Regions from separate parts of the Mus musculus genome. Here regions 1 and 3 are each reported to be linked to region 2. The links are microRNA targets in miRTarBase. Many come from high-throughput screens and were not tested one by one. Region 2 holds a microRNA gene; each other region holds the end of a gene's coding sequence.

Region 1 (3,255 bases), not on the chromosome of region 2:
TGTCATTCTTTAGAGTTGCCGCACCAAAATCTTCCACACTACATGACAGTACCTAAATAGGCTGCATTTAAAAGAACCAAACAGCCTAACACTACTAGAGAATGCACACCTCCCAGTGATTGACACATGCATAACAACTCAGTCAGGTTTTTGTTTGGGGGGGTGGGGGGAGGTACCTATTTGAATTGTCAACCCCAGTTAAGTTAAAACTATGCATTCAGATTTGCTTACGGTGGTATTACTGCAGTTCTGATTCTCAAGTGATCACCTCTGGACTGTTCACCCCTCAGCAAGTTCCCCTCCCCCAAGTAATCCTAACTCTTCCATATTTCTTTCCACTTGCCCAGAACAACGGCTTCACACACTTATTGATACCGTTTTTTCTACAAAAGTTGGTCTCCTGGCTTTTCCTCCAGCTCCACACGGATTCACCCCAGCATACTAGGACCGGCAGTGGTGTTTCAGGCATATCGCTCATGGGCAAACCTACAACTCAGTTGCAGGACCGTGGATGGGGCTTCCGGGCACACAGCTCGCTCACTGTTCCATCCTGTCGGAAGATGGCTAGAGTCTCTTCTGTGCATTGTCAACAAGCAAGCCCGAGGCGCTCCTGTGCAGGTACGGTGCCTTCTGTCAGCTGCCAGCCACCGAGAGTTCTTCACATCACAGACTCCAGGCAAGTTTTCCTTTTCCTAAAAAGGCTTCCTTTGTTCCCCCTCCTCTTGGGTCCAGAATGTCTGTGCTACAGAGCATTTTCTGTGCTTTCCCTGAACAGGTGTGAATAAAAGCGGCAGTCAGCCATTCATCAACATGTCTGGATTTGTATTATCCCAGGGAGGTATTTGCAGAAAAAAAGGAAGATCTCAGGGAACGGACGTCTGCTGTCGCTTCACGCCTGTGTTGTGCTTCAGTCACAGGACTTGCTTTTCCCACTGTCTGCAGAGATTAAAGATGTCTGCACCCATCCGCATGTGCTATAGGACTAGACGGACATTATAAACTCTCTCGGAGACCAGGCTCAGCAAACACCAGTGGCACTGCTGAGCGACTGCACACAGAAATGTAAACATGAATGTATCTACACACTTGCTGAAGCCACTGAAGGGAAACAGTGCTTTCTATTGCTGGGATTCTGAGAGGGCCCATTTAACAGATTTGAACCTTGGACCAATTAATGAGTTCAAGCAAACACCCTTTCCCATTTGATCCAGTGTTTCCCACCAATGGTTTCTACACCGAGACTGCAAAATTGCTTTTAGCATATTGTGCCTGTCTCTTCCTTCCCCAGCACCCTCCTCAGCCATGAGGAGTGTGGCTCTACAGAGAGCCTCTTACCTTTTACTCCTTGACCTTCCAGGTTAGAGTAAAACATGGGCTGGAAACCGTGGGTGCAACTACCTTGACTATGTAACACTTGTCCTTTACAAGGTATTATCTACACTAAATACAGAATACATTTTCCCTATGTTCTAACTGTTCTTGCTTTACATCAATTCCCTTTGTTTGGACAAGAAACGGAATCCTGTCTTCCTGTGAGGGAATCTAGAATCTGTTACAGAAAAAGAAAAACAACAACAACAACAACAACTTCTACAGAGTTTTAGTTGAAAAAGAGAAAGGCAGAGCCACCAAGCACATTTCAGGCTGTCTTGTAGGCAGCCGTGTGTGCACCCCTGATTCCCAGGGAAACCAGGTTTTCACTGGCTGGTACTTTCTTTTCAAGTGCAGTACTGCTCAATGTGCCTTATGCATCGGCAAAGCCTGACCGATCACAAAGCATCCTGGTTCCAGCTTCTTTTTTTTTTTTTTAAAGTGACAGGACACTGACTATAAAATAAGTTTTGTTTTGTTTTGTTTTAAAAACAATTATTTATAAGGACATTGAAATCTGTGTCTTTATAAACTGGTTTCAGAATATCCCAGTTATGATATGTAAGAAATAGTTGATAAAATCATACTGAAATCTCATCTAGAAAACGACGTCAGGAGAAAGGGCAAGGGCCTTACAAATGCTTATTGCCAAAGTTAACTTTCTATGAGAGAAGTTTAAAGATCGTTTAGATCTAGCATACCACACAGCAGCATAAAATGGGCATGTTTGAAGATGTGGAAAAATACTAAAAGCTAATTCTCTTTTTCCAAATATGGAAAACATGGGTACTTTTTACCACGGCAGTGTATCTGTCCCTGTGACACACATCACATCTGCTTATGTCACAGACTCACAAAAGCCAGTCAAGTAAGGGAACTGCCTGTTCGAATCTGCAGCCAAATATAGTGCAATTGCTGGGCAGCCTGTACCCCACAGTGCAGGCCCGAAGAGATCAGTAGAACAGTGAAGGTAACAGAGTTCTGTAAAACTTTCAAAAGCTGATGCTCCTTAAAGGCATTGACAGTGGCAAAGTCAGAAGTAAGAGGTCTATGGACCCACCCAATTAAAAAGTTACATGGAAATGATACAGGCCGTTTGGTTTCTCTCTCCCACTTATGCACACCATTCAATAAACACAGAAAAAAGGAAATACTCCTCTTATAAGACTAGATGCGGTGAATACCACAGCTAGCAAAAGATTCCATAGAAACCCTTCTTGGAAAGTCCTTTAGAAAGTCAAGGCTGATCAGCCTTTGCACGTTGAGGTAAAAATTCTGCCCAGTGCATCAGAAAACACAATCTATGAGTATCTATTTCTTTAACAAAAAAACCCAACTGGCTCAATTTTGTTGATGTATCAGACAGGGCTGCAGAGTAGACTCAGTGCAACCATTCTGAGCTGCTGGTAGGGACCACCTGAGAGAGGCAGTAGGCGTCGGAAACATTTTGAGGATGCGTGAGATGCCAAATTTGTTGAGTTCTTTTCCAAGACTCTCAGGCAAAATACATAGTGTGCTGGGTATCATGGTGGATCTGCACAGCCTTAGCCAAGGCCTGAGGATCCCGGCCGTTGCTCTGTCCTGACACGTGACTGCCTTCCGCACTGTAATGAAAACAAAACAAGAAACCGGGCATTAGCAGAGGACAACTTGAAACTTCAGTATTTCAAAGAGCACAAACAGTCTTGTATTCAAGAACATCTTGGCTGAAGCCTGGGCTACTCAAACAATTTGTTTCCTTAGACACGTTGGTTCAACTGAAAAGTACAGTACAGCTTATTTAATGGGTGGTTGCAATAAGTAATTAATGTTCACAGAAGCCAAGTGTCTGAGAGCACCTATGAAAGGACTTCAGTGCCCCTCTCTCTGCTTGGTCTCTACTTG
Region 2 (3,255 bases):
GCTTTGGGACGCAGCTCGAGGTGACGGACCGCTGCCACAGGCTCGTGTGCACAAGTGGTGCTGCGCGGACACTTTGGGGGTTAGGTGTGCGTGGGCCGCCGGGGCGCGTTTCCTGCACGTGGCTCCTCGCCGCCCTCCCTCCTCCACCAGCTAGGAGAGCAGAGGGCCAGGAGCTCTAGGAAGATGCGTGCGGTTCCCTGATCCTGGCAGGCAGGACAGCAGCGGGATGGTCGCGCGCGCCACCTGCCAGGGCGGGTCACTGGCAGATCCCCTACGCGCTTGTTCTGGATGACTGGACCAGGAGATGCGTACCTCCGCGGGCGCAGCTGTGATCCCAGAGAGTTAACTAAGGTGGGAGGGGATGGAGCTGGCAAGACTTGAGAAAAGCAAAGTACCTGAGTGTAGTTGAGGGGTGCCAGGCAACTCGTGAGAAAAGGACTCTCCCTTGTTGCTCTGAAGGTTTCTGGAGAACTTGTGGGTGGTCAAATGCCAGGGTGCACGTGGGGTGTGGGGCGGGAGGACTCCCGACCTACCTTGGTTTCCCTCCCACCAACCCGAGAATGGAGGGAGAGGCTTAAGCTTGGCGCGTTTTGGGGGCTTTGAATGGAGAACTCCGTTTCCCATAATGCTTTGTTTCTTTCTGTTTAATTTTGGTGGCCGCTAAGGTGTCTTGAAGACCTAAGCGCGTGGCATGACTGGCTGGAGCACACCCTGCGTTCCCAGGAGGTTCACAGATCTCTACTGGAGCCGCTGCTGAAGATGCGGGAATAGACCAGAGAAAATCCCGAAATGGTAAAAGACTGGGTCCTCTTTGCAATTTTAGAAGTTGTACAGCGACTTTCTAGTATATATGATGGAGAGCAGATGTGTTAAAGAAAGGTATTAGCTAGAAGGAGCTTTCTCTGGAGGGCTGAGGTATGGTTTTGCGAAGTTGAGTCAGGTTTTGTAATATATTTTTAGTGGAGGCAAAAATCTCTAGTTGTAGGAACCCAGTTCAAGAAGAAAAGTATAATAAGCCAATACTTGCACTATAGGAAGCAGATTTCATATTTACTTCAAAAGTTTTGCTAATTTATATTTAAAATGTTTTAAGAACTATCTTAGTCACTAAGTGGCTTCGAAAAGTTCCAACATTTAAAATATCCTTTCTCATTGAACACATTTCAAGTTTTGTGTCCCTGAAGTTTATTGGTGTCCCCCCATCAACACAAACATTCCATCATGGGAGGGAGGGAGCTCGTGACCCCTCAGACTGTCCTCTGCAGCATTTTCCTGGGTAAGATACACACTTGGAAATGAGAGAGGTTTTTCCTGTGGAAGATAATGACATGAAGCCAAAGAGCTAATCTGACTTCTTTAGGTTTAATGGAGAAAATGGGTCCATAAATGTTTAAACAGAAGTAGAGCCCTTTGAAATAGATGAAAATGTGACATCTCTAGGCCATCTGTGCGGTATGTGAAGAGTGTAAAACTGTTTCTTAAAGCGGCTCTGAAATTTCTATCATTTTCTCTTAATGGGCTGGGGGCAGGGATGCTTCATGTAATCAAACATAGAGACCTTCCGAGTGGCTCCCCAAAGCTCTGGATGAGCTCAAGACGTCAGTACTCACCCTAATGTTATTTATTTATTTTTTTGCTTACATCTTTTCCTGGGCTCTTGCCTCTTAGAAAACCATGGTGGATATTACAGCTCTGCAAATTTTCTGGGATGCGAATCTCAAATTTCCTTAGACGGAGAGGGAGTCCAAAATCCTCTTACTCTTAAGAGTCAGACATTCTGAGATTGCCAGTGTTATTCATGTTTAAGTCTGTGTAAATAATTGAGCTTATTAATGTTTGAAGTAACACAACCCCATTTGCACTCTTAACGGAAGGCAAACTTGTTTTAGAAATAGTAACTCACAGTTCACTTACTTGCTGTGTGTGTGTGTGTGTGTTTATCCAGGTGAGTCTGCAGATCTGGCAAAGAAGAGTTCGTGGAAGACTTCAAGGTTACACTCCTGGAGTATGCCTTGGCCATGTCAAAGTGCTAACAGTGCAGGTAGCTTTTTGAGTTCTACTGCAGTGCCAGCACTTCTTACATTACCATGGTGATTTAATCAGAGGCCGCTGAGTCCCCTGGTTTCTGCATAGTTAGATTGTGGATGTTTTTGAGCTGCTCCTTGTAATGTGTCTCTTGTGTTAAGGTGCATCTAGTGCTGTTAGTGAAGCAGCTTACAATCTACTGCCCTAAATGCCCCTTCTCGCACAGGCTACTTCTTACCTTGCATTTGAAAAGCATATCTTGAGAAATGATTTGAACGGCACAAGTTTCAAAGGCTCTTTCAGTGTTTCGCCGAGAAACAGATGGCGGAGACTGTAGTATACAGTTGTGTAGAAGAACAAGCTCGGATCCTAGTAGTGCCAAAGTGCTCATAGTGCAGGTAGTTTTTATACCACTCTACTGCAGTGTGAGCACTTCTAGTACTCCTGGATCAACCAAGGTCTTGTTGAAGCAACTACAGCGCAAGGACATTGCTACTTACGATTAGTTTTGCAGATTTGCAGTTCAGCGTATATGTGAATATATGGCTGTGCAAATCCATGCAAAACTGATTGTGGGAATGTGTACCTTTCTGCATCGTAATGGACACCTTTATGCACATCTTCAGCATCCATGCCCATTCATCCACAGGTGGGGATTGGTGGCATTACTTGTGTTAGATATAAAGTATTGCACTTGTCCCGGCCTGAGGAAGAAAGAGGGTTTTTAATCGTCTTTTAGTTTCTGAGTATTGTAAGTTATGTTAGACTGTAATTATGAAATGAACTGTTTTGCTGTTATCAGGTGGAACACGATGCAATTTTGGTTGGTGTAATAGGAGGAAAATTGCACGGTATCCATCTGTAAACCGCAGGACCTATGTGGACAGCCGTCTATCAGTGCTATAGTAAGATTGTAAAATCCTTTAGCTAGTCATTGCTTTGAACACATTTGGAGTGGATTTTTTTTTTTTTTTTTTGGTTTTTCAAGACAGAGTTTCTCTGTATAGCCCTGGCTGTCCTGGAACTCACTCAGGGTGGCCTCGAACTCAGAAATCTGCCTGCCTCTGCCTCCCAAGTGCTGGGATCAAAGGCGTGCGCCACCACGCCCAGCTTGGAGTCTAATTTTTTAAAACTACATATTTTTAAATATATTTGAAATCCTGACATTTTGATTGCACTGAATGTAAACAAACCTGAAATTTGCAAAATAAAGCTGATATATAAGTCTGA
Region 3 (3,255 bases), not on the chromosome of region 2:
CCTTCAGACCAACCACGTCTGCCTAGAAAACTGTGTGCTGAAGGATAAGGCCATCGCGGGCACCGTGAAGGTCCAGAACCTGGCCTTCGAGAAGGTTGTGAAGATCAGGATGACATTTGACACCTGGAAAAGCTTCACAGATTTCCCTTGTCAGTATGTGAAGGACACTTACGCTGGTTCAGACAGGGACACATTCTCCTTTGACATCAGCTTACCCGAGAAAATTCAGTCTTACGAAAGAATGGAGTTTGCCGTGTGCTACGAGTGTAACGGCCAGGCGTACTGGGACAGCAACAAAGGCAAAAACTACAGGATCACCCGGGCTGAACTCCGATCCTCTCCGGGAAAGATTGAGCCGTACAATGGACCAGATTTTGGAATCTCTTTTGACCAGTTTGGGAGCCCTCGGTGTTCCTTTGGCCTGTTTCCAGAGTGGCCTAGTTATCTGGGATATGAAAAGCTGGGGCCCTACTACTAGTGACTGCAGGTGACAGTCCGTGGCTCAGATCAAGATGGAGGCGAGAGAACGGAAGGCCAGAGGAAAGTTGAACTGCCACTAGGCGTGGTTTTTGAAAAGACAGGCTCCTGTTCACCTTTTTCTTAAACCAGCAAGTCCAGCGTGTTTCCATCACACCCGGTTTCTTGCTCAGAGGAGTGGAGCGGTGCTGATCCTCTGTGGCATCCGGGTTGGCCACAAGGGAATGCGCAGGATGGTGCCAGAAGGGTCTGGAGAGGAGCCAAGCTGGCAAGGACAGAGGAAGCTGGCCTCTCTTCCACACTTGGACTCTGAAAGTCACCCAGAAACCAATCTCCAGCCTTACCATTGACCTCGAGGTCCTGTCCCCGCTCATGGCTTTCCATGCGTCTCCTTCATTCCACGAGTACTCCGAAGGGAGCCACCTCAGTTCTGGGACACACTGGCCTGATTGATACCCAGCAGCCTCAGAAGAGGGCCGGGGGCGGGCGCTTTCTGTGCGAGCTCTTTCACTACACTTCCTCCCGCTACAGTCTATCCAGTGATCTGGACAAGAGAGACAAAGCAAATAAGTAGCTCGTGTCTGGGATAGGCATTCCCTCCCCCCTCTCTCCTCCTGACCCCTCCTTTATATTCCAGAAGAGAGCAACATATTAGTTACTAGAAAGTCATTGGTTCCCATGTGGGGTCACAGGGTACAGCACTGGGACAAGGTGGGACAGTCTGAACTTTTAGCTTTTCCTCTTGGATGTTGGGGGAGCTTTTGAAGCACCGTTTCACCCGGAGTTACCAGAAGAGGACTCAATGACAAGATGCATTTCCACTTGCCTGGCCGGTGTGTGTGAACTGTTTGTGTTTGAAGAGAGTCATAGCTCTCATGTCTCCTGGAGCCTCCACTTCAGTGCCTTGTCTGAGGCTTTCAAATAGCAAGACTGGCATCTCCTCGAGTCCTCCAGACTGTGCTTAGATATATATTCATATTCAGGATGCTTTATGAACCCCCAAGGACATTGATCGGGTGTTTTTATTTATGGTGTGTATTATAAAAAGATAGGGGAGAAAAACCTCACGTTTTTCTATGTTATTTTAAATGTTTGTCAACTCTGAGGTATCAGATGAAGTTTTCTTAACCATATTGGAGTGCAATGCGCTTTCATACGCTAGCGTGAGACTCCTGGAGTTCTTACCCTTGGGTGAACCCCCAAACCCTGTGATTTTTCTCTAGGGCAAATTAGAATTATAGGGGAGATTTTTTTAAATGCGAGTTTGTAGAATTAGGGGTGTTGTTTTGTTTTGGAAGTTTGATAAAAGATGCCTGTTTCATTTCCTTACTGAAGTGATGTTTCCCTGAGACAAGACAGAAAGGAGCAGAGTCTCATGGTTTCGGAGGTGGGGGCCACTGGACGTAGCCCTGTGCCCTCTGGCTTTATAAGTTAGCATCAGGCAGACATCAAATGTTTTTAATCCTAGCATGTGTGGTTTATTTTTTATCTTAACTTTTTCACTTTTGAAGATTCAAATGTTTTGACTTTTTAAATGTTATTTTCTATGATTTCTTATTCCTAAAACTGGTACTAGTCTGTAATCTGTGCTTTGTATATTGTGCCTCTCCCAGATGGGTGGCGATCTGGGATTGCATGCTGATTATCTGTGAGGAAATCATCTTTGTGCCATGAGGCTGAAGCTGGGGCCAGGAGTTTGTGTTTTATCTAAGCAGGCCATGTATCTCCTAGATGGGTGTACTTTAAATGTTCCGGATTTGTTGACCAGAGCAGCTAGGTTGAAATTGGATAGAAAGCAAAACTGCTCTCTATGGGTCATGCATTGTGTGTTAAGAAGGAAGGCAGCCAAGGGCACTGTTTCTTACATAGATGCAGACTAAAGATCATAAAATGGCTGGGGGCGGGGGCGAGGTACGGAATGGAATCTGTTCAGTGGTATGGATGATCTTCAGACATTCCGAGTCAAAATATAAAATATGGTAATTCCATGTTATATGTCCCTCCTAAAGCAGACATACCCTCACCCCCTTTTGCCCAGATTTGCCCCAGCTTTCTTGCTCACGAGCACTGCTTGAAAGCCCCCCAGCCAGCACACCTGGGGTGCACACCCACTGCTCAGCTCCAGGGGCATGTTGTGCCTTTGCCTGCTCACCAGGACCCTTCCCTTGAAGCAGTCCGTGGGCTGTGCTTGACTTCCTTATCAAGGCTGTCACTCAGAGACAGAAGAGTCTTCCTTCTGCTTTCTGCCTCCAATACAGCCCTCCTTCTTTTGACCCAGTCTGTCCCATGACTCTGAGATAGCCTCGGGAGCTGCATTTAGAAACTCTATGCATTGTTCAGAGTTCACCACTGTAGACAAATTTACGCAGCTCAGAAGACGACAGGCCCCTTGCTTGAAGATCCCACGGCAAGTTTGACCTGGAGGTCTGTCTTCATGCAGTTCTTGGCTAGGATGATGGATGGATCCTAATCCCCAGACATTGTGATCCAGGAAGGGAAGGCAACCCCATTCTTTGTTCCATATTTATTTCCCCAAATTCCCTGGGGTGCTTTGGCAAAATGGGTACAATAAATAAGCTAGACCATAAGACATGTTTCTTGTAAGAAGCCGTTTGAGTGTTGTAAGAATATTTTCTCTAGAAAGCTAGGAAGGCATAATGGAAGTCTGTAGTTCTGCAGAAACTAAAGCAACTTGAGTCAATGGTGGGAGTTATTTTATCCCTGAGATGTAAGCTTGGTGGCTCCTGATTCTGGGAAATCTGCACTCAGCCGCATCTC

What was found. The annotated mature microRNA mmu-miR-20b-5p reads CAAAGUGCUCAUAGUGCAGGUAG and lies in region 2 at 2,405-2,427, shown strand. An mRNA with a match to its seed (bases 2 to 7 or 8) in the 3' UTR can be bound and repressed. Matches are read on the target gene's strand: a 7mer-m8 pairs with bases 2 to 8, a 7mer-A1 pairs with bases 2 to 7 and ends in A, and an 8mer does both.
Region 1: miRTarBase lists Ago4 as a target of mmu-miR-20b-5p. Seed matches in the 3' UTR shown: 7mer-A1 at 1,809-1,815.
Region 3: the mRNA of Ppp1r3b is a reported target of mmu-miR-20b-5p. The part of its 3' UTR that is shown has no 7-base or 8-base seed match.

What each region holds. Positions count from the first base shown.
Region 1 is chr4:126,490,357-126,493,611 of GRCm38, forward strand. It overlaps Ago4 (argonaute RISC catalytic subunit 4), which reads right to left. Exons shown (of 18, transcript NM_153177.3): 18 at 1-2,975. The coding sequence ends at 2,867. Among named protein-coding and RNA genes, the nearest start is that of Ago1, 23 kb to the left of the region's middle.
Region 2 is chrX:52,741,331-52,744,585 of GRCm38, reverse strand. Mir20b (microRNA 20b) reads left to right here and starts at 2,394; the gene lies at 2,394-2,473. It overlaps Mir363 (microRNA 363), which reads left to right and starts at 2,819; the gene lies at 2,819-2,893. Mir92-2 (microRNA 92-2) reads left to right here and starts at 2,658; the gene lies at 2,658-2,748. Mir19b-2 (microRNA 19b-2) reads left to right here and starts at 2,520; the gene lies at 2,520-2,603. It also overlaps Mir18b, Mir106a and Kis2.
Region 3 is chr8:35,384,386-35,387,640 of GRCm38, forward strand. It overlaps Ppp1r3b (protein phosphatase 1, regulatory subunit 3B), which reads left to right. Exons shown (of 2, transcript NM_001364452.1): 2 at 1-3,255. The coding sequence ends at 478. Among named protein-coding and RNA genes, the nearest start is that of Ppp1r3b, 9.4 kb to the left of the region's middle.